Linked DNA regions of Elephas maximus indicus. The protein of the gene in region 2 interacts with the protein of the main gene of each other region in a biochemical or structural test. Links are inferred from orthologs where the notes say so. Each region holds a gene or a part of one and is shown on either strand. Other genes may lie near its edges. The genes, in order: PTPN22 and LCK.

The links.
Region 1: of the proteins of LCK (region 2) and PTPN22, one has a biochemical effect on the other in vitro, tested with the Homo sapiens proteins (3 studies listed by IntAct, with this or other methods). The link is inferred for Elephas maximus indicus from reciprocal best matches to the Homo sapiens genes LCK and PTPN22.

What each region holds. Positions count from the first base shown.
Region 1 is NC_064821.1:166,856,106-166,871,588, reverse strand, and holds the start of PTPN22 (tyrosine-protein phosphatase non-receptor type 22), read right to left. Parts: upstream 6,508-15,483; 5' UTR 6,419-6,507; coding exon 6,332-6,418; intron 1-6,331. UniProt on the Homo sapiens protein: Acts as a negative regulator of T-cell receptor (TCR) signaling by direct dephosphorylation of the Src family kinases LCK and FYN, ITAMs of the TCRz/CD3 complex, as well as ZAP70, VAV, VCP and other key signaling molecules.
Region 2 is NC_064821.1:73,154,888-73,170,328, reverse strand, and holds the start of LCK (tyrosine-protein kinase Lck), read right to left. Parts: upstream 7,234-15,441; intron 6,981-7,233; coding exon of another isoform or gene 6,968-6,980; coding exon 6,618-6,967; intron 6,343-6,617; coding exon 6,244-6,342; intron 6,103-6,243; coding exon 5,999-6,102; intron 5,772-5,998; coding exon 5,622-5,771; intron 5,331-5,621; coding exon 5,178-5,330; intron 5,065-5,177; coding exon 4,885-5,064; intron 1,460-4,884; coding exon 1,383-1,459; intron 1,294-1,382; coding exon 1,140-1,293; intron 1,056-1,139; coding exon 924-1,055; intron 1-923. UniProt on the Homo sapiens protein: Non-receptor tyrosine-protein kinase that plays an essential role in the selection and maturation of developing T-cells in the thymus and in the function of mature T-cells. Plays a key role in T-cell antigen receptor (TCR)-linked signal transduction pathways.

The DNA.
Region 1 (15,483 bases), about 94 Mb from region 2:
ACTCGGCTGCTAACCAAAAGGTCAGCAGTTCTAATCCACCAGCTGCTCCTTGGAAACTCTATGGGGCAGCTCTACTCTGTCCTATAGGGCTGCTATGAGTCAGAATTGACTCAAGCAGGTTTGGCTTTTGGAAACCCTGGTGGTGTAGTGGTTAAGTGCTATGGCTGCTAACCAAAAGTTCTTAAGTTCAAATCCACCAGGCGCAGCCCTCTATGGGGCAGTCCTACTCTGTTCTATAGGGTTGCTATGAGTCGGAATCAACTCAACGGCAATGGGTTTGGTTTTCTTTTTTAATAGATGGGGGGGTGTGATCAAGAAGGACACTCAGGAGGTTTCTGGGGTGTGGGCGCTGTTTTTTTTTCCTTTATTTGAGTGGTGCTTATATGGGTATATGGGTATGTGCTTTATTATCAACTGTTAAACTGCATATATACATATATATTTTTAACTTTTTGTGTGTAAGTTATATTTTACAATTCTTAAAAGTTTAAAAATTAAAGTTAATGAATAAATTGGAGGTAACAGAGTGGGAAGGGGTAGTAAGACCACAGGCTCAAAAGTTAGATAACTTTACTTCAAATCCAAGTGCCACCACTTATAAGCTGCGTGACCTTATTAGGTAAGTCACTTAACCTCTCTGTGAGTCAGTGTTTACTCCATGCCAGACACCAAGGACACCAGGATAAGCAGACTAAACATGAGCCTTGCCTTTGTCAAGCTTCAATCTGTTGGGTGATCAGACATTAATCAAATAATTACACAAGTAAATCAAATAAATACACAAATTCCATTCTTTAAATGGAATCCAACAACACTAAAGGAAATTTTTAAATAAAGTAATATGTATTTTGACAAAAATTTAGAAAATACAGAAAAGCAAAAAGATAAAGATTACCTATAATTCACTACCCGGAGTTAACCATTCTTAATATTCTTTTAAAATTGGAAATGTGGTATTCTACAAAAAAATGAATAATGAGAACTTATAATAGGAAATTCAGTCTACTCAGGTCAAGAAGACTTCTCAGGGGAAGTGACATCCTTAATGAGATCTGAAAAATTATTGTTACCTAGGCAAAAGAGAGTGAAGAATGTTCAAGGCAGCACTTGAGGGTTGGACTATGCAGGACTTATTTTAGCCATTTTAAGAGATTCTTTAAGAAGTAAACGCGGTTCTGTTTGTAAAGCGCTTTAGCACAGAGCCTGAAGCACTGTTAAGGGTTAGCTATTGTGACTGTGAAAAGCAGATGAGCAGAAAAGTTATACTATAAAAGAAAAAGGAGATTGAAAATAGTCATGGAAAATTTTCAGACTCAGAAATCAAATTAACATAATAAAATACTATTTTACACCAATTATATTTTTAAAAGTTATGATTTTACCTGATGCAGCATAAGTAGAGAAGTTAAGAGACTTTGGAAACAAACATACCAGTTTCAAACCCCAGCTTTGCCATTTCGTAGGTAAAATGAAGATAATACTTTCCTCTTGGGGTTGTTGTAGAGATGAGCTGAGATCATATATGGTAAAACACTTAGCAGATTGCCTAGCACATGGTAAGGAGTCAATAAATTGTATCTATTATTGTCTTTTATAGTTATTAAATTAAGACTGGCAAAGTGGTAGAGAAAATTACAAATTCAGATACTGAAAATTAAAAAAATTCTTTTAGAAATAAGTTTGGCAGTACTTAACCATTTAGAGGAGCTCTGGTAGAGCTGTGCTTAAGAGCTCGGCTGTTAACCAAAAGGTCGGCAGTTGGAATCCACCAACCAATCCTTGGAGCAGTTCTATTCTGTCCTGTAGGGTCACTATGAGTCAGAATCGACTTGAAGACAAAGGGTTTAAACACTTAGATGCTAATACTCTTTGACCCAATAATAACACCTTGGGGGATCTAGCCTCAGGATGTAACCCAAAAGAAGGGAAAAACAACATGCACGACATATTCATTGTAGTGTTATCAAAAAAAACAAACCAAACCCACTGCCGTCGAGTCGATTCCAACTCATAGCGACCCTATAGGACAGAGTAGAACTGCCCCGTAGAGTTTCCAAGAAGTGCCTGGAGGATTCAAACTGCCGACCTTTTGGTTAGCAGCCATAGCACTTAACCACTATGCCACCTGGGTTTCCAGTTATCAATAATCATGAAAAATTAGAAACAACCTAAATGTCCAACAGTACAGGAATGGTTAAATTATCTGGGTGCTTGCTATGTGTCAGGCATTTTGTATACTTATCCCATTATCTTCACAGCAGTTATGCAAAGTGAATGTTATTTATTCCCACTTTTTAATGACTTTGTTCAAAGCCACACAGCTAATAATAGGCAGAACCTAAATTTAAACCCAGAATTATGTGACTACAAAGTGGTTATCAGTACAGATGGTAAAAAAGACTACCTGAATTCAAAACTCAGTTATACTGCTTACTAGCTGTGTGACCCTGAGAAAGTCAGTTAACCTCTCTGTGCCTCAGTCTCCTAATCTATAAAATTAAAATAATAGCACTACCTTCCTCAATAGATTAAATGAATTGATATATAAAAGTGCTCAGAGTGATGTCTGGCACATAGTAGGCTGTAGAAGTATTGGTTATTATGATTGTTATTATTTCATCATGCCATGCTGCACCATTGTTGTTGTTAGGTGCCGTTGAATCCATTTCAACTCATGGCGATCCCATGTGACACAGTAGAACTGCCCCTTAGGGTTTTCTAGGCTGTAATCTTTACTGAAGCAGGTCATCAGGTCTTTCTCCTGTTGAGCCCCTGGGTGGGTTCATACCACCAGCCTTTCAGTTAACAGCCAAGCGCTTAACCATTGCAGCACCAGGGCTCCTTAGCCATTAAATACTATAAATATTTTGAATTAACATGGTATATAATTTTGGTATAATGCTATGTGAAGTGGGAATACAAAATTGTATTACGCTATAATTATGATATAAAAAAGCATTATATAAATGGACAAGAAGATCCACAAAATAAAACTTGTTTTTTGGAATGCTAGTACTGTGGTGGATTTATTCATTTTTTTTTTAACCTTGTGATAATATTGGTTTATAAGAATAATTACAATAAGGGCTTTTTAAAAGTACCTTCATGGAATTTTCAGTAATGTGGTCGTATACCGCTGTTCCTGCTATTTAAAAACTATGCTACCTAGGGATTTACCCTCAGGCTTTGAGGGACTCAGTGTTATTGGTTGAAATGAAGCAAGGCACTGTTGCATAAAGATTAATTTCACAGGCTCTGAATAATACAAATCTGGGTTAAGTTCTGTCTCTACAGCTTAACAGCTGAATAAGTTAGGCTGATTACTCTCAGGGCCTCAGTTTTCTCACCTGTAAGTCAGAGATAATAATTGTAGCTACCTCACAGGGTTTTTTGACTAATAAGATAGTGAATGTGATACTTCCTTGACACCCTATCAAAGGCTATCACAACTGTAATTAGTAATTAGTTGTTTAATGTTGCCTCTCCAGTTAGAAGACATGCTCCACAAAGCAGGAACATTGTATCGTATTCCTGTATTTGAATGAATGCATGAATACCTTACAGGGGCATTCTGTGGCAGCTTCATCTAGAGAGATTAAATTTAGTCTTGATACAAGAAGACCTAAGCATGCTATTGGCTTCAGCTGTCACACAGGACTGCCACATCTAGTTATGAATGTTGTGCTCTGAATAGAGATACCCGGCCAAGAGGTGTGGGGAGAGTGGGGACTGAAACCTAAGCCACGGACCTGAAGGCAGGGGGTAGAAAAGGTCACAGGGCCACCACCTGGAAGCAGAGGAGCCATTTGGTAATTTGCACAAAGGCACCATCCTTCAGACTAGCAGTAGCCCAGAGTCACAGAGTCAGTTCACAAGCTCCAGAATCATCAAATTCTGGGAGAATATACTAAGGGATTAAGGTGGGATGTGGGATGTGACCAGGTGGAAAACCCTCCAATTTAATGGCAGTATTTACCTTGCTCAAGCAAGCAACCTGGCCCCATTCAACACTCCCTCACTTCCCCAAAGCTACACCCTCTGGTATCTCAGATTAACCTTTAGGTGGGGCTGAGAGCAACACTCTTTTTCCACTGGAGGACATGAGTCAGTGAACAGTGAGGTTCCACTTAATCACCACCCCCAAACAAGGTCCTTAAAATCAGGACCTAGAAAAGCAAGGAAATGATTAATATAAAAGTCAGGATAGTGATTACCCCTTGGGCAGGGCAGGGTGGGGGTAGGGACCTGATGGGAAGGGGATATACAGAGGTCTTCTAGGGTCTGGCAATGCTCTGTTTATTGTCTTGGGTGGTAGTTGCTTTATAATTAGTCAATATACTGTACTTCTTTTACGTACTTCTCTAAATGTGTTAGTACATTTCACAATTTTAAACAAAAAAAAGACAAACTAGGGAAAAAATGATCAGATTTGTATTATTAAAAGATCACTTGGGTGTTGAATGGAAAATTGATTGAAGTGGGGCAAGACCAGAGGCAGAGAAACCAATTACGAGGCAGCTGTCATAATTTGGGTGAGAGATTATAATGACCCGAGATAAGAAAGGAGCCCTGGTGGTGCAGTGGTTAAAGCACTCAGATGCTAGCCAAAAGGTTGGCAGTTCAAACCCACCAGCCATTCCACAGGCAAAAGATGTGGCAGTCTTCTTCCATAAAGATTTACAGCCTTGGAAACGCTATGGGGCAGTTCTACTCTGTCCTATAGGGTCGCTTCGAGTCAGAATCAACTCAACAGCATTGGATTCTGTTTAGTTTTTGGAGATAAGAAAAGGTAAAATATCAGGGATATAGTTTACATTATTTAAAAAAAACACAACCAGAATAAAACAGAAGTTGCCCCTCACTTTTTACCTCTCTGCTTTGGGTGAATTTGGCTTAGGAGTTATAGGCCAGAGGCAGGCACGTTTCTAAAGAGACACATAGGCTAGGATGTCCTCCTTACCTCCCTCCCTTCAGACTGACTTCAGACAGGCTTCAGACTGACCGGACCATGGCACTGAGAGCACTTTTTTCATGATACCACAATATTATCTGAGTTGAACTGGTCTCTGTCGTAATATTAACCACTCAATCATAATAGCTAATCACTCAAGTCTTTACAGAGTGTTTTTACATTACTGTGGTGGACCAGAGAGCTAGCTCCATGAGGACAAAGAGTTTTGTTTGTTTTGTTGACTGCTGTATCCTCAGTGCCTAGCACTGTGCTTGGTACATAGTAGGTGCTCTATAAACACCACTGAATAAATGGCCATATTTAATTATTATTGCTGTTAAATCTTCACAACAATCCTGTGAGGGTAGGAAAGACTAAACTAGTATCCTCATTTTATAAATTTGAAACAAAGGCTCGGGAAGATTAAGGAACACGTCAAATAGTCTAGAATTTAGTTGGCAAAAGAATCATGATTTAATTCTAGGTTTTGTGCTTCGGTTCCCTTGTTTTTTCCACTTCTTCTTCACAGCTGAAGATCGAAGGTCTGAAGTTATTACAGCTCTGAAACACCAGCTGGAAGTATTCCAAAATACATGATAGGTACTCGCAGATACCCTATTTGATCTGATGTACTTGGTTATAGGATCAATAAGGCCTATCCAGCTGATCACTGCAGCAATAACCACAGTTCCCTCAAAGGAGATGCAGTGTTGCTCTGGGTAATCAAATCCAGTTGACCCTAGGCTGCCTCGTACTCAATATTTCTCTCCATTCCCTTCACTTGCTCCTACTCTCCATCCTAGCCTTTCACATCTCCAAGCAAAAGAAGGTTAAGGAAACCCTGTTATTGCAAAAACGTATGTTCTAATATTTTTTTCTTCACCAAAAAGAAAAGTGATGAGGCAGCAGGTAATTTTGGTGCTTTTAAAAAAAAATTATGTCATCCAAATGGAATCCCAAGGGGAGGATAAAAATGTTCATTGAGCCATGAAAAGCTAGTCTTGGTCTCTTTCCTCTTAATATAAAATAAAATTAGTAATTTGAATCATTAACCACAACTTAGATACCTGGGGAACTCTGTATGTTCAATTATATTAGTATTTATTCCACTGGAACTGTGTATGTCTTCTGTAGGATTCCTAGTCAAGTGTCAAGAAATAGCAAACAAAATATCAAAGTCAGTATTTTGGAGAGAACACCTAACATACATACAAACTGCTGAGGGAAGTCAAACGTTTAGGTTGCCTTCCTTCCCTCCTGCCTGTCTGAGGTCTAATATTCATTTTAATCCAAGAGCAATTTGGTCTAGGAGAGTTGGACCATCAGAGTCAGTTAAATAGCCTATGTAACTACCATGAGAGTGTTACACACAGGACTCACCAGAAATTCATTGGCAAACTCCTCTTTCTTAATTTTCTTATCTTGGTTCTCATGCAGGAACTTCTGCAGAATTTCTCTTTGGTCCATGCTGCAGAGCAAGAGAGACAATCTATGAATAGGTTGAAGGAGGGCATGTCAAATGTGTGTCATGGCTAAGACACCACCGAGAAGCCACTGCCGCCTCCTGAGCAGAGTATGCTGAAGGCTGTGGTTTACTGACTTCATCACAAGCCCTAGAGGAAATTAGTGCGTAACCAGCCTCTGTGGTCACACAACAAAACCATCATCTCACGGCAGGGCCCTAGCGCCTTCGTTTTCAACAAAGGAGCCTGGTTACAATTCAAGTTTTTAACAAACAAGAGACTAACCAGAAAATAATGTGTGGTCTGCTTAGCTCTGAGACTGTTCCAGTCTACATTTAAGCAAAATTCACCTCTCTTCTTGCTTCACAGAGAAAAGGCAGAGTTAGAGGTCTCATGGTTTCTGCCTCTCTCCATCTCACCAGTGAGCACAAAGGCCCTGGTGTCACCTTCTATATCCTCCATTTCCAAATGAACTCTGCTTCAGTTAGGCCCAGAAAGGGAGACGGACACTTTTAGAGTCACTCAACTTTTGCGGGGAGTCTTTCTCCAAAGGTTTCTTGCCAATATGATCAGGGGCAAACTTCTGTTCATCAGAGAAGGCATTTTTTTCAGAGTATTTATTCTTAAGTTCCCCCAATAGACCTCAAACTCTCTTTGGAATGAAGCAAAGTCAGCTGCTTCTGACAGTCTATACCTCTCGCAGGACTGGGGAAGTGCTGACCTCCATTAAGGGAAGTGTGGATTTCAGGACCTCCCCCACCCCCAGGAGCCTTATGAGCTTCACTTGGATGTAAAGACTGAAAGTATTGGCCAATAAGGATTCAGAGCACAGTGACCCCCAGCAGGAGCACTGACCCAGCAATGGCATACTATCCCCCCGTTAGTAAAAAAAAAAGTAAGGCTGATTTAACTGAGGGAACAGAAAAAAAGTAAAAACAATCACCTTGCTGGCAGCAATATAACTTTCACGGTGGAAAGCCTGTTTCTAGAGAAGACATTTCTACTCTGCAGCCAGTGTCTTGGAAAAGGCCTTTGTTTCAGGAGGTCATGCCGTGCATGTGGCAATTCAGCCCTGTCTGACAGGCAAGTTGTTCCAGAAAAGGCTTCTACATCTCAGTTTGCCTAAGTTCTTTTTTCAGTGGGTACAGATCTGTCCAAGAGTGTCTAAATTAGTGCGAGAGCACCCAGAAATCAGCACATCATCTCTGTTTCGGGTAGAAGTTCAATAAAGAATATGTTAACAACATTGTTGTCGTTGTGTGCGGTCAAGTCGACTTTGGACTCATAGCGACCCTATAGGACAGAGTAGAACAGCCCCACAGGGTTTCCAAGGAGCAGCTGGTGGATTTGAACTGTCCATCGTTTGATGAGCAGCCTGAGCTCTTAACCTCTGCACTACCAGGGCTCCCCAAGAGTGTCTAAATCGGTGTGAGAACACCCAGAAACGAGCACATCATTTCTGTGTGGGTGTAGAAGTTCACTAAAGAATATGTTAACAACATCCTGAAGAAAACTGGGAAATGTATCATTAGGCCTTCCTTATGTATTTTCTTTTTTTTTATGTAAATATTAGCAATCCTTTCTGTTTTGCAACATTGTTCAAATTTCCTTTAGGAAGTCCTGATTCTGGACGCTATTAAGCTGCTTTCATTTTATTGAGCCCTACAATAGGAAAAAGAAAGGTCATTGATATAGCGTGGTTATAGGCAACTTGAAGCCAATATTCCAAATAAAGAATTTCAATACTGAGCCATGTAAATTAAAGTGGACCATAATGCTTCAGCAATATTTGTTGGAATAGAATCACATTTCTCAAATTAACCCCACTAGCCTTAAAGGAGAGTATCTCTCTGCTCTAAACAATGCAGTGTTTGATCTGGTTATTTTTAAACATATAAAATAGAGGGAAAGGTTTACATTTTAAAAAATACAAAATTTAAAGCTCACAATAACTATAATCATGTAAAAGTATATACTGTACATAGTTAAACAGAAACTAAAAGTTGCAAAAAATCAATTGTATGTGTGTGCTGGGATTAAGGGTGATTTTTAAAAACTTTCTTATACCACTTTTTAAATTAAAACATACACACATGCAAAAAAAAAAAACTATTAATTCATTCTTATTGAGTATCCACTAAATTCTAAACACTGTGTTAGGGGCTGGGCATACAATAGTGAACAAGCCAGAATATGGTTAAAAAACATACACACTAAACCAGTTAATAAAGCATTTCAGAACTAAAGAAATAGACTTAATTATTGATAAAAATAAAAATATTCCAAACTAACTTTCTTGTTTGCCAAGTAGCAAAGTATAACCCTAGAAGGAAATGATTCTGTTTTGAACAAATAAAAGATACAGTTTCATAATCTCTGTGTCCCCTTAGAATGTCCTCACTTCCATCAAAACCAGAACTTAAATAATTACAGATGCTTCATAAGATGAAATTTAAATCAATTTTCCTCAAGCCCCTATTTCAGAACAATCTCAATGTTATCGTCTCTTCTTAGGGAGGGAAGAGGTAGAGATAGATATGAGATAAGAAAGAAAAAATTGCTTAGATGTCATCCATCGCTCTTTTACCCCAAAGCTCAGGATCTGAAAATAGAGTCTTTGCCGAACTGTATCTCTTTTTTAAAAGCAAGCAGCAAGACTTAGGAGTCTGTTCCATTGTAAAACCAAAAGGCATAGAAACATCGTGAAATAACTAAACCTCAAAAACTCACTTAGCTGCAAGGCCATTTCCTGAGCAGACCACTCAAGTGAGCAAAAAACAACCTGAAGGAGAAAACAAAAACACTTCAGTTTTATTTTGAACAAATCTAAGCCTACTGCTTAATCTTTCACACTTCCTTCTACAGATACTGGAGGGCAATAGGAACAGATTGTGTTGACTCATTTGTATCTTGTGGGACAATCAAGAGTTGGGGAGGGGAACAAGTCATGCACCAAAGGTTGGCAAATACATAATTTAAGAATTTACAATGAAACATTTAAACCAGTCTGGCGTAAACCCTAAGTGAACACAACAATTCCATGCAGTAAAAGACACCGTATCAGAACCATCAAAGGTGAGCTCTAGTAGGAAGTAAAATTCTGAATAAGCGCCTGAAGCGGAGTGAGTGAAGAATTAGGGACCACTCACAGCTGCCTCACACGTCTCTGGTGTTTGTTCAGAAGGAAGATGATAACGGGTGTTGATCATACTGTCACCTGCTCCAACAAGAAGAGAATGTGCCAGTTGAAGGGAGAAACATCAATATCATGGAGATCAGGAATTAGAGGACCATAAACTTTAATCAGAGACTATCAGGGGATATTATTAGGGCAAGATAAACTGCTCAGTAGGAAAGACATTATTTCTCAGAACATCTTTCTCTCTGTGAAGAGGCGTGGGTTACCCTGGAGAAGCCATTTACTCAGTCTTAGCTTTACTTTCACTCCTCTTGCCTTTCTCTGCATCCCAGGGTCATTGATTTGATGTGGGCTATTTTTGTGTGTGTGTGTGTGTGTGTACTACTATCTGTGAAACACTCAGTCTTTTTTTTTTTTTTTTTTTTTTAACACTCTGTCCTTTGTAAACATCCTGTTGGTCACTGCCCTGCTGCTGCTATAACAGAAATACCACAAGTGGGTACCTTTAACACACAGAAATTAATTTTCCCACAGGCGAGGAGGCTCTAGGGGAAGCCTCTTTGTCTCTGTCGGCTTGAGGGGAAGGTCTTTGTTTCTTTTCAGCTTCCGTTTCTTGACTCCTTGGTGACCTTCATGTGGCATGGCATCTATGTTCTCCCATCTCTGCTCACTTGCTTAACCTGCTCTTTCATATCTCAAAAGAGATTGACTTACAACACACTCTACACTAATACTGTCTCATTAATACAACAAAGAAACTCCATTCCCATATGGCATTATAACCACAGGTATAGGAGTTAGGATTTAAAACACATATTTTGGGGGGATACAATTCAATTTATAACAGCCACCAAAGTCTATTGGTTCTTTCTCCTCCATGTCTTTTAGTTTCAACCTACCTTTTCCATTTCTGTGTTAACCATTCCCATTTTCGCATCTGGATTCCTGCAGCCATAAGCTCTTAGTTGGTCTCGTACCTCTCTCTCTCCCATTTCAGTGTCTCCTTGTAACCAGGGCTGGATGAAACTTCTTAAAACTCCACTTTAATGTTAAAAAACCAAAATGCCTGCTCATAGTCTATGGGAACAAGCCCAGATACCTCAACTTGTTACCAAGCCACTTCTAATCAAATGTCCTGATCCAACCTCTCCAACCACATCACCCACAAATCTTGTTGATTACACTACCACTTCTTTTACTACTTCTCACTGTTTCCTTTAATTTTCATCAAGATAAATAACCTTCTTTCATAAAGGCCGGTTACCCCTTTCTTCAGAAATCCTCTTATAACAATTTCACCATGACCTTCTCTTATTCTGAATCCCTTCAATATAAATCTTTATATTCAGATCTGGAAGCTTTCTAATTTTTTTTTTACATGTTCCTTGCATCTCATAAGTTTATGTAATCATGAGACCCATTATACATTCCAAAGTAGACAAAATTGCCTCCTGTAAGCTTATCAAAGGCAATGATAGTATCTTCTATGTTTTAGCATAACCCACAGTGTTTAACCTGGTCTTGAGCATCCCTAAGATACTTAGAAAAAGTCTGTTGTGATCAAATATATTACATAATATGGCTAGGCTTTGGTGAGAGATTCACTGACTCGGTAACTCACTACATTAATTATTTCAGATCTCTTGCCTGGCACAGTCTATGCTTCTAGTCTCTGGCTAGGTACTTCCACTGTGCTAGAAGCAGATGGATCTTACCTGCAGGGAGACCCAGGAACCTGGCAAAGAGTACTTCCCTGAGTGCTTCTGCCCAAGCAGCAAGGCTATTATTGTAAAAGGAGTAAACCAAGGTATGGTGCTGTGACTAAGGTGCAGGGTCCAGCCCCAGAGGGCTGTAATGGCCAGAGAGAAATGACATTCTTTATCTCCAGAATTGGCCAGTGTTTCTCCTTTGATAAACTAACACAGAATAATAAAATATCTCTAATGAAGCTTGTTTGATTTGCTCATATTTTCATAACATCATCCTCAGCAGGAAAGTCCCCTACCCGTTTTTCAATCTGCTTCTTTGTCACTACAACTTTCTAAAACCTCATTAAGCATTTCAATACACCTGCTCCACAGCAGTATGAGTCCCTGTGGACTTCACAGTCAGCTTCCCACATACCATATAGGGACTCATACTCTTCCTTAGGTTTCAGAAACATAATTCTCAAGAGGCAAATGTCAACTGATAGCTTACAATTGAAGCAATTTTTTTTTTTTTTTTTTAAGGAGAGAGTAAGGACTCTAGGTGAACCATGGCATCTGTATTAGTTTCCTGAGAATGCCCTAAAAAATAACCACGAACTTGGTGGCTTACAAGAAATATAGTCTCTCACAGTTTTGGAGACCAGAAGTCTGAAGTCAAGGAGACAGCGGAGTTAGTTCCTTTTGGAGCCTCTGAGGGAAAATCTGTTCCATGCCTCTATCCTAGTTTCTGGTGGTTGGCAGCAATCCTTGGCATTCATTGGCTTGTGGATGCATCACTCCATTCTCTGACTTTATCTTTACATGGCATTCTCTTCTCTTTATCCTCTTCTTTTCTTATAAGGACACCAGTTGTTGGATTTAGGGCCAATTCTTTCACAAAGCCCAGTTACTCTTTTCTTCAGAAATCCTACCCCTAACTCTATTTTATCATGACCTTCTCTTAGTCTGAATCCCTCTAATATAAATATATTCAGTTCTGGAAGTTTTCTTATTTTTTCACATGTTCCTTATATCTCATGTTTATTTAATAAATAAATGCAGGATGATTTTATCTAAAGACCCTTAACTACCACCCCATCTGGAGCAAGGGAGAGTGAAGAAAACCAAAGACACAAGGGAAAGATTAGTCCAAAGGACTAATGGACCACAACTACTACAGCCTCCATCAGACTGACTCCAGCACAACTAGACACTGCCTGGCTACCACCACCACTACTCTGACAGGGATCACAGTAGAGGTCCTGGACAGAGCTGGGGATAAATGTAGAACAAAATTCTAACTCTCAAAAAAAGTCCAGATTTACTGGTCTGGCAGAGACTGGAGAAACCCCAAGAGTATGGCCCCCAGACACCCTTTTAACTCAGTACTGATGTCACTCCTGAGGTTCCCCGTTCAGCCAAAGATTAGACAGGCTCATAAGCAGAACGAGGTTAAATGGGCACACTGGCCTAGGGGCAAAGCTGGTAACAGGGAACCCAAGGTCAAGAAGGGGAGAGTGTTGACATGTCATGGGGTTGGCCACCAATGTCACAAAATAGTATGTATATTAATTGTTTAATAAGAAACTAATTTGCTCTATAAACTTTCATCTAAAGTACAAAAAAATAAATAAATAATAAATCTTTAATTACAACTGCAAAGACCCCATTTCCAAATAACATTACATTCTGAAGTTCTGGGTAGGCATGAATTTTGGGGGACAGTATTCAACCTGCTACAGCATCCTGTTTAAAATATAATAAAGCCTGAAATCTCATTTTTTCTTTGTTTGATTGTTCATTCAATGTTGAGTCATTTATTCATTCATTTAATGAATATTTACAGGATCCATATACATCCAAGAGAACAGAGGTGGAGTGCTACAGAAGTGTACAACAAATTGTCTTTGTTCAAGGATCCTTTATTCTAGTAGGGAAGATAACTACATAAATAACTATAATTTAAGGCCATTTGTCATAAGATGAAGACGCCCTGGTGGCCCAGTGGTTAAGCAATAGGCTGCTGTCATGGATTGAATGACAGTATTCAATATATATGTCAACTTGTTTAGGCCATGATTCCCACACCAGCAATTTATGAGTGTTCCATTCCCTCCACAACCTCTCCAACATTTTAATGCCAGCCTTGTTGGAGTGAGATGGATTCTCATTGTAGAAGATTTGCATTTCTCTAATGCCTAATGATTGTCAGCATCTCCTCATGTATCTGTTAGCTACCTGAATGTCTTCTTTAGTGAAGTGTCTATTCATATCTTTTTCCCATTTTTTAATTGGGTTATTTGTCTTTTTGTAGTTGAGTTTTTGCAGTATCATGTAGATTTTAGAGAGCAGGTGCTGATCAGAAATGTCATAGCTAAAAACTTTTTCCCAGTCTGTAGGTAGTCTTTTTACTCTTTTGGTGAAGTCTTTGGATGAGCATAACCAAAAAAAAAAACAAGCCAGTGCTGTCGAGTCGATTCCAGGTGTTTGATTTTTAGGAGCTCCCAGTTATCTAGTGTTTCTTCTGCATTGTTAGTAATGTTTTGTATACTGTTTATGTCATGTATTAGGGCTCCTAACATTGTCCCTATTTTTTCTTCCGCAATCTTTATCGTTAGATTTTATATTTAAGTCTTTGATCCATTTTGAGCATGTTTTTGTGCATGGTGTGAGTTATGGGTCTTGTTTCATGTTTTCGCAGGTGGGTATCCAGTTATGCCAGCACCATTTGTTCAAAAGACTGTCTTTTCCCCATTTAACTGCTTTGAGGCCTTTGTCAAATATCAGCTGCTGATATGTGGGTGGATTTATGTCTGGATTCTCAATTCTGTTCCATTGGTCTATGTATCTGTTGTTGTACCAATACCAGGCTGTTTTGACTACTGTGGTGGTATAATAGGTTCTAAAATCAGGTAGGGCAAGGCCTCCCACTTTGTTCTTCTTTTTCGGTAGTGCTTTACATATCCGGGGCCTCTTGCCCTTCCATATGAAGTTGGTGATCTGTTTCTCTATCTCATTAAAAAATGTTGTTGGAATTTTGATTAGAATTGCATTAAATCTAAAGATCGCTTTGGTAGAATAGACATTTTTATAATGTTAACTCTTCCTATCCATGAGCAAGGTATTTTTTTCTACTTATGTAGGTCTCTTTTGGTTTCTTGCAGAAGTGTTTTGTAGTTTTCTTTGCATAAGTCTTTTACAACTCTGGTAAGATTTATTCCTACGTATTTTATCTTCTTGAGGACTACTGTAAATGGTATTGATTTGGTGCTTTCCACTTCAATGTTCTTTGTGTTGATGTAGAGGAATCCAACTGATTTTTGTATGTTTATCTTGTATCCCAATACTGTACTGAACTCTTCTATTAGTTTCAGTAGTTTTCTTGAGCATTCCTTAGGGTTTTCTGTGTATAAGTCATGTCATCTGCAAATAGAGATACTTTTACTTCTTCCTTGCCAATCTGGATGCCCTTTATTTCTTTATCCAGCCTAATTGCTCCGGCTAGAACCTCCAGCACTATGTTGAATAAGCGTGGTGATAAAGGGCATCCTTGTCTGGCTCCCGATCTCAAGGGAAATGCTTTCAGACTCTCTCCATTTAGGATGATGTTGGCTGTTGGCTTTGTATAAATGCCCTTTATTATGTTGAGGAATTTTCCTTCTATTCCTATTTTGCTGAGAGTTTTTATTATGAATGGGTGTTGAACTTTGTCAAATGCTTTTTCTGTCTCAATTGATAAAATCATGTGGTTCTTGTCTTTTGTTTTATTTATATGATGGATTACATTAATTGTTTTTCTAATGTTGAACCATCACTGCATAAAAAAAAAAAATTTTTTTTTTTTTTTAATCCCTGCATACCTGGTATGAATCCCAATTGGTCATGGTGAATTATTTTTTTTGATAAGTTGTTGGATTCTATTAGCTAGAATTTTGATGAGGATTTTTGTACCTAAGTTCATGAGGGATATAGGTCTACAATTTTCTTTTTTTGTGGTATCTTTAACCGGTTTTAGCATCAGGAATATGCTGGCTTCCTCGAATGAGTTTGGGAGTATTCTGTCCTTTTCTATGCTCTGAAATACCTTTAGTAGTAGTGGTTTTACCTCTTCTCTGAAAGTTTGGTAGAACTCTGTGGTGAAGCCATCTGGGCCAGGGCTTTTTTGTTGCTGGGAGTTTTTTGATTACCTTTTCAGTCTCTTCTTGTGTTACGGGTCTATTTAGTTGTTCTACCTCTGTTCGT
Region 2 (15,441 bases):
CACTATGAGACAGAATTGACTCAGTGGCAATGGGTTTGTTTGTTTTTCTCTTTAGGTGGAAAGCTTCAGAGGGAAGAGAAGACCCAGGTCCTTGGTCAGTGTTTAGTGAGCACCTACTATGAGTCCGAAGTCCCTGAGTGATGGAAGTGGTTAATGCGCTTGGCTGCTAACCAAAAGGTTAGAGGTTGAGTCCTCCTAGAGACAGCTAAGAAGAAAGGCCTGGTGACCTACTTCCAGAAAATCAGCCATTAAAACCTCATGAAGTCTGGTTCTGACACACACGGGGTTGCCGTGAATCAAATCAACTTGACAGCAACTGGGTTGGTACTACGAATCGGGCTCCTTCACTGATAGTCTCTTTTTTTTCATATGAGAAAACTGAGGCTCAGAGAAGTCATACAGTGATGGTTAATAATAAAACCTAACACACTTGAGTACTTGCTATAGGCCAGGCGCTGTTCTAACTTCAATGAAGTTTCATAACAACCCTGCAATTCTACCTCACAGAGATGCCGTCAAGGTTAAAATAGTACATGTAAAGTGCTTAGAACAGTAGTTAGCGTGTAGTAGGAAAGAAGGAAAAAAGGAAGTATATGTTCAAAGCCAAACAGAAAGTTAGCATCAGTGGTAGATCTGGTAATAAAAGGTAGGCCTCTTGCCTCCCAGGCCAGATCTACTACCATACTAGGCTGCCATACCAGAACATAAGAAAAGAGCTGGTGTTATTGAAGGAGGAGAGATCCAGAGACAGAGATGGAAGCCAGCTCTGGGAGATGTGGCATCTGTTTGAGGATGCTGGAGTCACACCCCTGAGAGGATGAAGAAGCAGTTAGAAAGTTTCAGACTGGGAAGAAGTGAGTGGAAAAACATGAATTGGCTGCCCTTCCCTGTCACCCCTCCCAGTTCCTGCCCTTGGTTCTAACCTGGATAGGGGATACGGCCGTGGGTGACAATCTCTGTCAGCAGGATCCCAAAAGACCACACATCCGATTTGATGGTGAACGTCCCATAGTTAATGGCTTCTGGTGCTGTCCACTTAATGGGAAACTTGGCCCCTGTGGGGAGGCAAAGTGAGGCCACCTGGATCTGCTTGATTTGAACCTGCCAGGCCCCAGACCTCTCTCAGACCCCGCACTTACCCTCCCTGGCCGTGTACTCATTGTCCTCAATGAGGCGTGCTAGGCCAAAGTCTGCAATCTTACAGCTCAGGGTGTCAGACACCAGGATGTTGGCGGCCCGCAGGTCACGGTGGATATAATTCCGCTCCTCAATGAATGCCATGCCCTCAGCGATCTGCAGGCCAGGTACAGGTCAGCAGTCTTGGGCCAGACATCCTTCCCCAGTGGCCAGTGCCCAGGCCCAGCCTTCCCCAGGCTCCTTACCTGAGCAGCCATGTCCAAGAGTTTGTTGATGGTCAGCTTGATGCCTGGGGGGGTCTTGAGGAAATCCACCAGGCTCCCTGTGGGCAGGAGCATGAGTAGTGAGCAGAGCGAGCAGAAGGAGGAAAGATCCTCCGGCAGAACTCACCCAAGTCAACTCAGGGGGAGGCCACCAGACCCTTCTCCCCAGCTGGGAATCTAGAAGCAGTGTTTGACATGTGGAAAGGAAGAATAAGGGGTGTAAATAGAAGGGTATGTTCTCAGGGTAAGGATGCCCAAGATATGTGAAGGTCTTTTCTGGGCACCCTCACCCTGAGCACAGGAAGGCTGAGAGGGAGCATCTTGTAGGTTTCTTGTCACCAATGGGGTAAAGCCCAAACCCCTCAGCCAGGGATCCAAAGTCCTGCATGGTCCACATTTGTAGCTTCTCCTCCCCTCCCCTACCCCTGCCTCCTTCACCACAGCCACCCTATACAATTTTGAGATTCTTCAGACAGACCACTTGGCTGTCATCCTGAAGTCTTTGTCCATCCCTACCTGCTGAACATTCCAGTTTTCTTTCATGGCCCAGCTCCCCCTTTAGGAAGCCACTCTAGTCCTACCAGGCATAATAAATTACATCATCTTCTGCATTCCTGTGGTGTGCTAGAAACTTCCCATGGCACAAACTCTGTCTTCCCAGTGCCCATTACTAAAATCATGAGTTTCCCTAACAGCAGAAATCTTGTTCACTTATCTAGTGCCCAGCCCAGAGTAAGCAGCAATGACTGTGTGCTGAAGGTATTGAATGGAATATGGAAAGAGATCCTGGGGGCCTTGGGGCATCTCTCGTAGTGGAGGGTGGCTGGAAGAAAAACACTATGGAAGTTGCTAGGATGAAGCTTGTGACCAGTGGCACTTCCCAAGAGATTAAAACCTCATATGAGGATGACAGCATACCTGAGTGTCCCCACTATGGGGCTAAATTAGTCACCAAAAACAAAGGCCTCACCCAGAGGCAGCAAATATGTGGATATATACAGCCATTCCTCTATTGTGTCTGTGACAAATGTTGCTAATCACAGTACTCACTCCAGTGAGCTTCAGAATCCTTCTCAACCCAGCTCTCCAAGCAACTACCAACCAATCAAAGTTGGCACCTATAATGAAACCTACTTGCCATGTCTAGAATCTATTAGCCAATTACCTTTTTCCCTTCCTGAAAGAGGGACAGATAATGTATTTCCAAAGAATCAGAACTAGATAAAAACAACAAATGTATGATGTAGCTAACATATGGCAGGCACTGTTCTAACTTTCATCCTCACAAAGACCCTATGAGGAAGTTACTATTCCATTATTATCACCATTTTACAGATGAGAAAACCAAGGCAGAGAGAAGGTAAGTGATTAGTCCAAGACCACTGTAGTGCAATTGATCACTTTTATATGGCCTTTCTCACCATAGCCTTGTAACTCTCACGGAATGACTGAGTGGGACTATGCAAAAAGTGCTTGTGGCCCACCAGGGAGATTGGACAGCTTGCTAATAATGGTGCACACCACCCTTGTGTGGGTGGAGCCATGTAAATAAGGTCAGTTTTGCTGTCCCACTAGGCTTAAAACAAGCCATTCCAGAGGCAGAAAGGGAGGACCTCACTACCATGAAGAAAGAAGAGCTGGGAGTGGAGTGCATCCTTTGGACCCAGGATCCCTGCACTGAGAACCTCCTAGACCCAGGAAACAGCTGTAACACCGGAGATGGCGCAAGACACCGAGAAGCAGTGGCAGAGAAATAGTGGCAGCAGAGGCACCAGGAGACCAGCAGGAGATGGTGCAGCTGGCTGCATGGCCCACAGAATGAGAAAGCTGGGCACCTTTGGGCCCAGGTTTACTGGCAGAGTAGGGTGCCTCTGGACACTTATTGGTGGAGCTAAAGAGCTTTGTAACACTTGCCTGACCAGGCCAGAGGCTGGGCCAGCCCAAGAGGTTTGAGAGGCCGAGAGGCCAAGAACCAGGTAGAGGCCTACTTGTGCGCATGGCCGAGAAGCTGTCCTAACTGAAGAACTATATCTTGAGTTATCCCTGATCCTGAATTTTAACCTGTTACTTCCCTAATAAATGCCAAAACTCTGAGTATGATCTATGAGTTTTGTGTGGCCATTGCAACAAATTATCGAACCCATCAGAGAAGTAGAGCGTGCTGTGGGAGGGGTAGCTGGTGTCACAATTGGTGAAAAGGTTGGAGGGTAGAGGTATGTCTGACCTTCATCTCATAGGAATCAGCCTCGGGCTGATGCTGATGGTGATTCTCCTCTTTCCTTACGAAGTTAGAGGAGGAGGTCAGACGCCACCCCCATGCCATTTTTACAACCACACAACCATGAAGACAGGATTCTAATCCAGGCAGTCAGACTCTAGAGCCCTTAATGACTATATTCTTTCTGGGTGAGCTCATTTAGATTTTCTGCTGTTAAAGCAGGAGCTGCACACGTGGGTTTGCCATGAGTCAGAATCAACTGATGACAACTAATAACACAACGTCTTTAGGGAAACTGAGGACCGGAGGTGCTATGGGGACTTAGCCTGGGTCACACAGCAAATCAGTGTCAAAGTGGAGCTTAGAAACTCAGTCTCTGCCTTTCCGGGCTCTCTGTCTAATAGTACAGCCCCTACAGCAACACCTTCCAGGGGAGGGGGAGGGGGAAAGGACTCACCCACAGCTGGAAAAAAAGGGCCTTGGGGCAGATCTAAGGAACCCTGGTGGTACAGGGGTTAAGTGCCTGGCTGCTAACAGAAAACAAAACAAAACAGAAAGGTCAGCAGTAGGAGCTCACCAGCCGCTTCACGGGAGAAAGGTGTAGCACTCTGCTTTGGTAAAAATTGCCATTGAGGCTGAGTCGACTCTGACCCATAGCAACCCTGTACGACAGAGTGGAATTGCCCCATAGGGTTTCCAAGGCTGTAAATCTTTACCCAGGCAGACTGCCACATCCTTTGCCTGTGGAGTGCCTGCTGGGTTCAAACTGCTGACCATTCGGTTAGCAGCCAAGCACTTAGCCACTCTGCCAGCAGGGCTCCTTCTCCATACCTTCTCCATAAAGATTACAGCCTTGGAAATCCTGTGGGGCAGTTCTACTCTGTCCTATAGGGTCACTATGATTTCCAAACCACTCGACAGCAATGGGCTGGGACAGATCTGTCCTCCCAAGGGTCAGGAAGGACAAAAAGGGGAGAAAAGAACCTAGGGGCCCATTCAACTCCTGAGATCTAGCATCCTGAGATCAAGACAGGGTTTTGAAGAAAGCAAAGGAGACTGCAGGTAAGGGAAGATCGAGGCGAATGCTCTTCCAGGCTCTGCCACCGTAGACTGGGCCCCCAGATAATATGTCCGGTTCTAGTCCTTGGCGGTGCGCCTTCAGCGGCCCAGGAAGCCCATCTAGAAACCCTTTATGCTGAGCCAGAGGACAATGCAGAACCCCACCCTCCAGGAGGGGCGCAGGGGACCGCGGCGCCTGGAGCGCACCGTTCTCCATGTATTCCGTGATGATGTAGATGGGCTCTTGGGTGACCACGGCATAGAGCCGGACCAGCCGCTGGTGTTGCAGCTGCTTCATGAGATTGGCCTCGGCCAGAAAGGCGTCGGGAGACATGCTGCCCTGCTTCAGGCTCTTCACTGCCACTTTCGTGTGCCCGTTATAGTACCCTGAGGGAGAAGGGGTTGGGGGAGTCACCCGCTGCCAGTGCACCTGTACTCAGAGCTTTCTGCGGACGCCTCCCCTCCCTCCTTCCCCGGCAACCCTGGAGGGCCACACTCACCCATCCACACCTCCCCGAACTGGCCAGCCCCTAGCCGCTCCACCAACTTCAGCGTCTCCCTGGGAACCTCCCACTCGTCCTCCCACCACGGTTTCTGGGGCTTCTGGGTCTGGCAAGGGCGACTCAACCGCGTGCACAACCCGTCCGGAGCATCTGCGGGGACACGGGAGAAGTGTGAAGGCAGGCCTTGGGTCACCCCACCCAGCGCCCACCTCACCGAGTCCCGGTGTAGGAGAAACGGACTGGCAGGGCGGTGTGGGGCTGTCACCCGACACCTGGGACTGTAGGGTCGGAGACCCCGCCCCACCCACTGGGGGAAATGAAGGAGCACGCTCAGAAATGGGGGGAGGGTAACTCTGAGAGAAACTGGGGGGAGGGGGCAGGCTGGTACGGCAGAGGAGAAGGGGCCTGGGGCAAATCTGAGGGAGTCCTGGAGTTGCTCACTGGTGTAATGGCGGACCAGTTCATGCAGGCCGGGGAAAGTGATGCGTGGGGAGATGTAGAAGCCGCCGTTGTCCAGGTTACGGATCTTGTAATGTTTCACCACCTCTCCCTGGTTCTGGTCAAAGTCCCGGACCGACAGTGAGAACGATCCTGAACGAATGAATGAATGAATGAACAAAAGAATGCAAAAGAGGGCGGGGTCGCCTTCCCCGAGCCGCGCACGCCACCCATGCCCTTCTGCTCGGGCTCACCCAGGTGGCACCATGCCGCCTCACTGCCCTGCCTTGCCAGCCCGCGACCCCGCCCACTGGGAGGCCCCCAGCCTGAGGTCCCGCCCCCGCGGCCCCGCCCCGGCTGTGGCCCCCCCAACCGCTCACCCACTGTGCTCTCGCTCTCCCGGATCAGGAAGGAGCCGTGCGTGTTGCCGGGCGCCAGCAGCTGCCGCTCCGCGTCCTTGCGGCTCAGGTTCTTGAAGAACCAGCTGAGCAGGGCAGAAACGACGGCTGTCGTCTGTTAGTCCCTTCTTCTTCCGTCCCCCTCAACCAGTCACCACGACTCCGAGCACCCACTCTGGGGTCGCCACATGTGTTCCCGCCCATCCCCACGACAAGCCCCCACTCACGGTTCGGGCTCCAGGCTGTTTGCTTTGGCCACGAAGTTGAAGGGGATGAAGCCTTCCTGGCCCGTGGTCAGAGACTGTGCCTTCCACCACTCGCCGCTCCTGCACCACAGCGATGGTCAGCGCGGCCTGCCCAGCCCTCGACTGAGCAGGAGACCCTTCCTTTGAGTCCTCAGCTCCACCAGGTCTCCCTCCCCACAGCTCAGCACTCTAGAGCTTCCCGTTTGTTCCAAGGGCCCCCCCCCCCAGCCAATCAGGACCTCAGGGTGTAGCTGGAGGTACCGGGTAACTCTGAGGATGGGGGTCTTAGACCAACAGCCCCCTCCCTCACAGACCCCACTAGGACTGTGGTGGATGGGATGAAGAGGGCACTCAACTGCTCCAAGATGCGGAGCTGTTCGCCCTTCTCGAACCCCAGGTCTCCGTCGTGAGAGGGCTCATAGTTGTGCAGGGCGATAACCAGGTTGTCTGTAAAGATAGGGGGCGTCAGGGCGAACCGGCCTGGGGTAGGCTGGGAGCATGGAGGTCGGGAGTTATAGGGCCAGAGACAGGACTGGGGGCAGGAGGGGCCGAAAAGGGTAGAGGGTTCGGAGGAGATGAAGGCAGACAGCCAAGGATCCACAGGCCTCATCTTCCAGGCCCTGCTGGTTGGGGTCACCTTGCAGTGGTGAGGCCGGAGGGATGGAGCCCTCGTAGGTGACCAGTGGGTCCCGCACATCAGAGCCATTCCGCATGGGTAGCTGTGGGGTGGAGGATGAGGGTGGGGTTAGAGAGCAAGAGGCTGGGTCTTATCACTAACTTTGTCAGCTATTTGCTGTGTGACTTTGGGAGATTCCCTTCCCCTCTCTGGGCCTCTCTTTTCTGTATACCGGGGTAGATGGTCAACTGTGTTATTTCAGGGACCTGTAGTTGTGGTCCATTCTTTCTCCTGAGTGTCCCTGGGCCCTGCACTTCACCTAATTCCCTCACCAAGTCCACTCTCTTGCCTCTTACCATGGCTTTGCTATCCAGTGGGACTATGGGGTAATGGCAGTTCTCACACACATCGATGTTTTCCATCCAGTCATCTTCAGGATTCGAGCTGCAGCTGCAGCCCATGGTCCCTGGGGGAATGGAAAGGGGAGTGAAGGGACTTCACGCAAGACCTGCAGCCCCAATACCAGACATCCTAGGGCGAGGTTGTCAACCCCCCCCCCCCCCCCATTCACCAGCCACAGAAAATCTGAAATGGTGGGCCCTAACTCCTGACTGGTGCTCTCTTGGAGCTCCAGGGCCACAAACAAAGTCACATAAAGCCCTAGGCCCCGCCCTCCCACCTGGGATGGGCAAACTGCCACAGATACCTTTCTTAGTTGAGTTGCCCACTTCCTGCCTCTCCCCTCTCTCTTTCCCTCTGCCTGTCCCCCACGTTGGGGGACTCCCTCCCAGAGAACACACATACATATTTACCCAAGCCCTGTGGAAGACCTAAATTTTTATCAGATCCTCCCCTCCCAGAGAGGTGTACAGGCCCTATCTCTTAATTACAATCCCTCTCCAGCCTAGGAAGCTGGGTCAGAGACACCTGTCCCCAAAGGTCAGGCATTAGAGCCCTCCGCCATACACAAAGCCTCCTTCAGAGGGTTTCTTCCAACAGGGTCTTACCTCCCCCCAGCATAACCCTCCAGTGGCCCTGTTGGCCATAACTTTTTTTTTGTCTTAGCAGTGCAACCTTTTTGTCAGGTGAAGTCAGGCAGAGCTCTGTAAATAAAGTAGGTAAAAGTGGAATTGCTCTGTCTGAAGCAGAGTGGCACCTCACCCTGAAGCCCCCAGAGTCCCTGAAGCACCTCTTTCCCTAGGGCTGCCCCTCACAGCTGTGTGGAAAGCACTAGTCTTCAGACAAAGTCTAATTTGCCATGGCACAATATCAAGACCAAATCCACCTCCTCAGTCTATTTTGCTACACACACACACATAAACAGCCACACACGCTCACGCACCCTGTGTCTGAACCCCTCTTGCCTTTCCTAAACACCCCGCACTGTTTTCTTACTGCACGGCTTTGCACATGTGGTCCTCCTGTCGTGGAATGCTCTATTTTGTTCATCGGCTGAACTCTAACTCAGCCTTCAAGTTTCAGCTCAAATATCACCTTCTCTATGAAGCCTTCCCAATAATCTTTGCTACCCTTTCACTCCTAGTTCCTACAACATTCTGCTCAGGCCCCAATCATCAACCTCAGCGCTGAGTGCCATGATGACTGATTTATGTGTTAGTTCCACCACGTCCCACCATCCCCAGACTCCAGGTTCATCAAGAGCAGAAGCTGCGCTTTATTTGCCTTAATGCCCCAGGCACCCAGAACCAGTTGCTATTTTAAATTTTGAATGATATGAGGAGGTTTAATGCACCAATTCTTCTATCTGCACAAGTCTTAGAAACAACCAGGTCTAACCTTTGATTTTAGATTAATAAACCAAGACCCATGCTGGGACCAGGTGGGGATGAGGAGCAATGGGGTTTTCTGGTTAACAAGAGTCAGAGCACAGATCCAGGAGCCAGAGAGAACTAAGTTCAAATCCCGATTCTAACACTGTGTGACCTTGCGGAAATCATTCTTCCAAAGCCTCACTTTTCCTCTTCTGTCAAATGGGTATCATCAGTCTTTTCTCATAAAAAAAAAAAATTTAAGCTTATGTTAATGTTAGCTTAGTTTAGAACTTCGAAAGACCTCCCCGCTCTCCACCAGGGCCCATTCTGTCCTACCAGCCCCTGCTTTGTAGGGTAGGGGAATGGGACTGGTAAATAATCCTCTTTGCTGCTCATGTTTCTTAAACTGACATACTCCTGACCCCCCATGGATATCAGATGTCATGGGTGTGCATCTTCCCAGAGTGCCAGTGGTTCCTGAATTTATTCATATAGCTAAATAAACATAGACCTATTATGGAACAAATGCAAAATGACATGAAATTTTAAGCCAAATCAAGAGTCTTAAAGGAAAAGAATACATATCTACTCTTCCTCCCACTGTTAGGAGTCCTTTGTGGGGGGGGGCGGGGGTTCATTTGAGAAGTCCTTCTAGGCCAGAGTCCACCCATCTGTGGCTGCAAATGGCTTTCTGATTTGCTGATTTTATTATGGCCAGGAACTAATTAGCAGCAAATGCCTCCAGGAAAGGAGCAATAGAGACTTGGAAGTAGCCTAAGAAGAACTGAGCTATCTAGTAAGATAGCAAGCATCCTATGGCTTGTGATACTGGGAAACCACAGGTTGGTCCTGTAGTAGAGAAAATCCCAACATCAGATGAATTATGGACTTAGATCAATAAAGTTCCTCCCAGGCTTAACATTCTGGGAGGCTCTGGAAAAGGGCAAGAGAACAATGGGAAAACAATGGGCTTGAGACGGGGGATGAACTGGGCCAAGACCAAGAGCCTGTGAAAGTCCTGGGATGCAGTGGTGAGGAGAGGCAGCTAGAAGGGCAGAAGGAACCCAGGCTGGAGATCAAGGGACTAGATGGCACCCGGTGCAGGCTGGGGTCAGGTAGGAAGGGAAAAGGAGCCACGGGCCTTGGGGTGAGGTCCAAGAGAGCCTGCAGGAGGACCTAGAGCCTGGACAGAATCTGGGCCCACCGGAAAGGACCTCACATCCCTAAGGAGAGTGAGAAAAGGCCAGGCTCTGTTAAATTAAACCAAGAGGAACTCTGTAACTCTGACCCTGACTGCTTTCCCTATGGCTTATTTTGTGCTCCTGGAGCCCTTCAACTGAAGGAAGCACATCTTGCCTTCTACAAGTGTGTGAGCATTAGCGTGAAGAGCCTGGCAGCAACCAGGAGACCCCAGAATTTGACAATAAGAGAAATTATAAGGTAACTTTTTTAATGGTAAATATGTATGTAACAAAACATTTGCCATTTCGTCAATCATCACGTGGGTAGTTAGGTCAGTGACAGTAATTATGTTCACCATGTTATTCAACCACTACCCATACCCATTCCCAAATCTTTCCGTCATCAGAGATGAGTTTGGTGGTTCCCAACCTAGTGTTTGCATGCTCCCAGAAGAAAATAGTGTTGAATACCTTCAGGGTATTTTAAAATTTCAAAAATCTACATGGAAATTATACTACTACTAGTTATTGTTCCCTCATTGCATACTTAGTTAAGTCTCTGATCAAATTTTGAAGTAGAAAAATAAGAAAATTAGTGCCTAAACAACGTAGTTTGTTAGGGAAAATGTTTAAAATCATGAGATCCATGGAGGGGGGTGGGAGGTGGCAAAGGAGTCCTTGGGAGGGAAAAGTTTGGGAACCACTGAGGAAATCCACCGGCCTCGTTTTAAAGATGGAGAAGCTGGGGAATCAAAGAGGGTAAGTGATTTTCTCAACAGCACACCGAGGGGTCTTGGCAGAGGCAAAACTCAAATCAGGCCCCTACATTCCTTATCAATGGACCCTCCTCTGCTCCTCGCTCCCTGGGAGATCTAAAGAATGTGGGGGGATCTTGAGAGATCATAGAGAAAGCAGGTGGGGGGCAAGAATCGTTAGTGGTCATGCAGAGAGCAGTTGGGTGGGAGGACAGGTGTGACAGTGGGTTTACTCTTCATCAAGTACTTGATCATTGTGCTATTAACAAAGACCTTTCTCTTCAAGACAATTTTTCCCTCTGCTTAGAATACACATTTCTGAGTGTACATTTACCTGACTCAGTGTAGGTGAGTCTGTGCACATGGAGGCATAAGATTTAGTGAGTGTCATGCTTATGTGTGCACACCTGTGCATTTGTATGAATCCGCATGCACAGATGGACATCTAACAGAATGGGAGTATTTATAGCTTGCTGGTATCCCCACGTAATTGTAAGATCATATATGCATTCACCTAGTTTTACAAAATATAGGTCCCATCCTCCCAGTCTCAGCTTGACAAAGCCTGCTGGGTAGCCAAAATGATATAACCAGGTTAGTAAAACCAGGTCAATAAAAATTTCTCATTATCTGAAAAAAGGAAGAAAAAGAGAAAAGCAACAAACAGTAGATTCAAGGAGCTGCTGGCAATAAGAATAAGAACCGGCAATAAGGACAGATAGTGGGGTGAATGAAACAGGACATTCTCTTCTCCCAGCTCAGGAATCCAAGGTCAAGAGTAGAAATTTCATAGATCCTATATCACCTCTGGAAACCCTGGTGGCGTAGTGGTTAAGTGGTACAGCTGCTAACCAAAGGGTCGGCAGTTCAAATCCGCCAGGCGCTCCTTGGAAACTCTATGGGGCAGTTCTACTCTGTCCTATAGGGTTGCTATGAGTCGGAATTGACTCGACGGCACTGGGTTTGGTTTTTTTGGGTTTATATCACCTCTGACTGGGGCCTGTAATGCTCTCAGTGAAACTCAAGTTTGCCCATGGTCTATACAGCACTTTGTGCAAACTATAAAAATGTCACCCCTCCCACGGGCTGCAAACTTAGAGAGTGGACTGAGGGCTAGGTTTCAGCCTCCCCCCTCCCACCACTTTTTGCTTCTCAACACAATTCCCAACCTGCTCAACATACCCAGTGGCCCTGCTCATGTCATATATGTATGTTGTTGTTGTTAGGTGCCATTGAGTTGATTTTGACTCATAGTGACCCCATGTGACAGAGTAGAACTGCCCCCATATTGTTTTCTTGGCTGCAGTCTCTACAGGAGCAGATCGACAGGTCTTTCTCTCACAGCGCCATGAGGTAGGCTTGAACTGCTGCCAGCCTTTCCATTAGCAGCCAAGCATTTAACCATTTGCAACACCAGGGCTCCTTATATATACTGTATACAATTGATCAAAAATTCCAGGCTGCAGAAAGCTCCTGGACTGGGTTTTGTGATCCCAGAGTGTTTTAGAACCATATCACAGTGAGTTCTGATTCTTGACAACTTGTTCACTTTTATCAACTCCACCAACATTATCTTCTTTGGGTGGGCTCAGAACGTGTTCTTGTCCATTTTTTCAAAAAGGGCAGTACTTTCCTTCTCCTAAACCATAGACCTATTCATTTATTGAACCAAACCAAAAACCAAACACACTGCCATCGAGTCGATTCTGACTCACAGCGGCCCTATAGGACAGAGTAGAACTGCCCCATAGAGTTTCCAGGGAGTGCCTGGTGTATTCGAGCTGCCGGCCTCTTGGTTAGCGCCAAAGCACTTAGCCACTATGCCACCAGGGTTTCCATTTATCGAATATTCCATCCAAAATGCTTCCCAGCTTCTTGCCGGGGTTTCTCAGTCCAGTGTTCTTCATCAAGAACAGGCCGGTTATTCCACTCCAGACCATTGTACTCAGGGCCACCTTGTGGCAAAAGCTGTCAGGAATAATTTAAAACATAATCTTGGCCTTTGTCTCTGACCAGGATTTGGTTTTTGGCTAAGTTGCATCTGTTCAATGGCAATGCCCACACGGAAACTTGTCAAAATATAATAGTCAAGAATCAGGGTTGGCGGGCAGAGTAAATAATTTCTAATGGGTAAAACAGGGATGTGTCCTGGGTTCCCTCCTTTTTCATGTGTTCCTTTTTGATACAATTGTTGTTAGCTGGCATCAAGTTGACCCTCAACTCATGGTGACCCCATGCACAATGGGACTGGATCTTTGTGATCCATAAGGTTTTCATCGGCTGATTTTTGAAAGTAGGTTGTCAGGCCTTTCTTCCGAGTGCATCCTAGTCTGGAAGCCCCGTCAAAACCTGTTCAGCATCATAGCAACACTATAAGGTGCCTGAGGTGCACTGACCAGGAGTTGAAACTGTGTCTCCAGCATGGAAGGTGAGAATTCTACCACTGAACTGCCCCCTTTTGATATAATATCACTTTTGAATTAACTTTGTGACCTGTTGCCACAGAGAACAGAAAGATAAGTCTTCTCTTACATGCAAACAGATGAATTCATTATCACAAACTGGGAATAACTTGAACACAGAACTGACTGTTAGTTAATTATTGCCATAAAGAAGGGCCCTTCTTCTTTTAAGGGTGATGGAAAGATTTGGAAATGAATAGTAGTGATGGCTGAACTCACTGAATTGTACAGGTTAAAGATGTTGAAGTGGCAAGTGTTTTGTTACATATATATTTGCCACAATTTAAAGAGGAAGAAGAGCTACAGAGCAATTATTCTAAGCTAAAGCTGGTATTTTCCTAGAGAGGTCCCCCAACTAGTAAAGTGTATGCACCTAGTAATTCCTTTCAGTGAGTTTCCTCGTGTGGCACAATGGCTCATTTTTGTGTGGTGTTTCTAGCCATGGTCTTGTAACTCCCACCCGACTTATTGGGTGGGACTTTGCAAATAAGACAATTGTGGCCCACCATGGAGATGGGTCAGTTTTGCTTTAAAAGAGAGCCAGTTCCAGAACAGAGAGAGGATTTCACCACCACCAAGAAAGAATAGCCAGGAGCAGAGAGCACGTCCTTTGGACCCAGGATCCCGGAGCTGAGAAGCTCCTGAACCCAGGCGGTAAAGAGATAGCTGTAACACTAAAGAGGGAGATATGGTGGCAGAGAAACAGCAGCAGGCGAGACCAGCAGGAGATGGCGCAGTAGGCTTCCTAGCCCACAGAGCGAGAAAGCTGAGTGCCTTTCGGCAGGAGGCTTGCTGGAGGAGTAGAGTGCTTCTGGGCACTTGGTGGGGCTAGTTTTGCAAACCCAGGAAGCTAGAGCTGAGCACCTTCCGTGAGGCTTAGTGGTGGAGTGAGGTGCCTCAGAGCACTTATTGACAGACCTAAAAAAGCTCTGTAACACGTGCCCCTGAGCAGGGCCAAGGCTGAAGGGCCAGAGAGAGGCATGTCTTCGGCAAGGCTGGGAAGAGGCTGTTCTGATGGATAAACTGTATCCTGAGTGTTCCTTAACCTGAATTGTAACCTATTGCTTCTCTAAGAAACCCCATAATTGTGAGTATTGTCTGTGAATTCTGTGTGGCCATTGCAATGAAACACCAAACTCAGCAGAGAAGTAGAGAGTGCTGTAGGAGGGAGGGTTGGTGTCAGTATTGGTAAAGATGGCGGAGAAAGGAGGCGTATCTGACCTCCGCCTCATAGGAATCAGCCTTGGGCTGGTGATCTTTATTTTCCTTCCTCCGCGTGAAGTTAGAGGAGGTCAGATGCTGTCCCCACGCCATTTTTACACATCCCTTTGGTACCTCCGTGTGTGTTTTCCCTCAGAGCCTTTATCAGGATAGAGCCTTACTTACAGCTTGGTAATTTATGTATGCTATTTTATTAAAGTTTCTGGGAGTCTACTGGTCATGAGGTCCTACACACAATGCCCATGTCATAGTGACCCAAATATAACCCCAAGGTCCCCCAGTCACTCACTGGCAGAGGCCTTTGGAGAGCTTACTAAAACTCTCTGTGCCTCTCTCAGTTACTTCATGTGCAAAAGGGGAATAAAAACAGGACCTGCATCTAGGGCTATTGTAAACATTATATGAGATAATATATAAAAAGGGCTTAACATAGTGCTTAGTACATAGTAACCCATTGCCATCGAGTTGAATCTGACTCAAGGTGACCCTATAGGACCGTAGAACTGCCCCATAGGGTTTCCAAGGCTGTCACATCTTTCTCCCGTGGAGCGGCTGGTGGGTTTGAACCACAACCTTTTGGTTAGCAGCCGAGTGCTCAACCACTGTGCCACCAGGGCTTCTTAGTACATAATAAGGACTCAATAAATGAACATAATTGTTATTCAAGGCTAGGGTAAGCATTTCATTACACCAGCTGTTATGAATTGAATTGTGCCTCCCCCCTCAGAGGTATGCTAAAGTCTTAACCCCCAGTTCCTATGGAATGTGACTTTGTCCTTTGGAGCCTTTGTCCTTTGGAGCCGGGATCCCTGCGCTGAGAAGCTCCTGAAGCCAGGAAGTTGTTGTTATTGTTAGCTGCCATGGAATCAGCCCCTGACTCATGGTGACCCAATGCACAATGGAATGAAATGCTGCCCCTTCCTGGGCCATCCACATGATGGGTTGAGGATCAGCGGTTGTGATCCGTGGGATTTTCATTGGCTGATTTTCAGAAGTAGATTGCCAAATCTTTCTTCCCAGTCTTTCTCAGTCTGGAAGCTCCACTGAACTCAGTTCAGCATCGTAGCAACACCCAAGCCGCCACAGACAGAGGGGTGGGTGGTGGCTGCTGTTGACGTGTATTGGCTGGGAATTGAAGCTGGGTGTCCCACACAGGGTGGGGGGCAGGGAGAA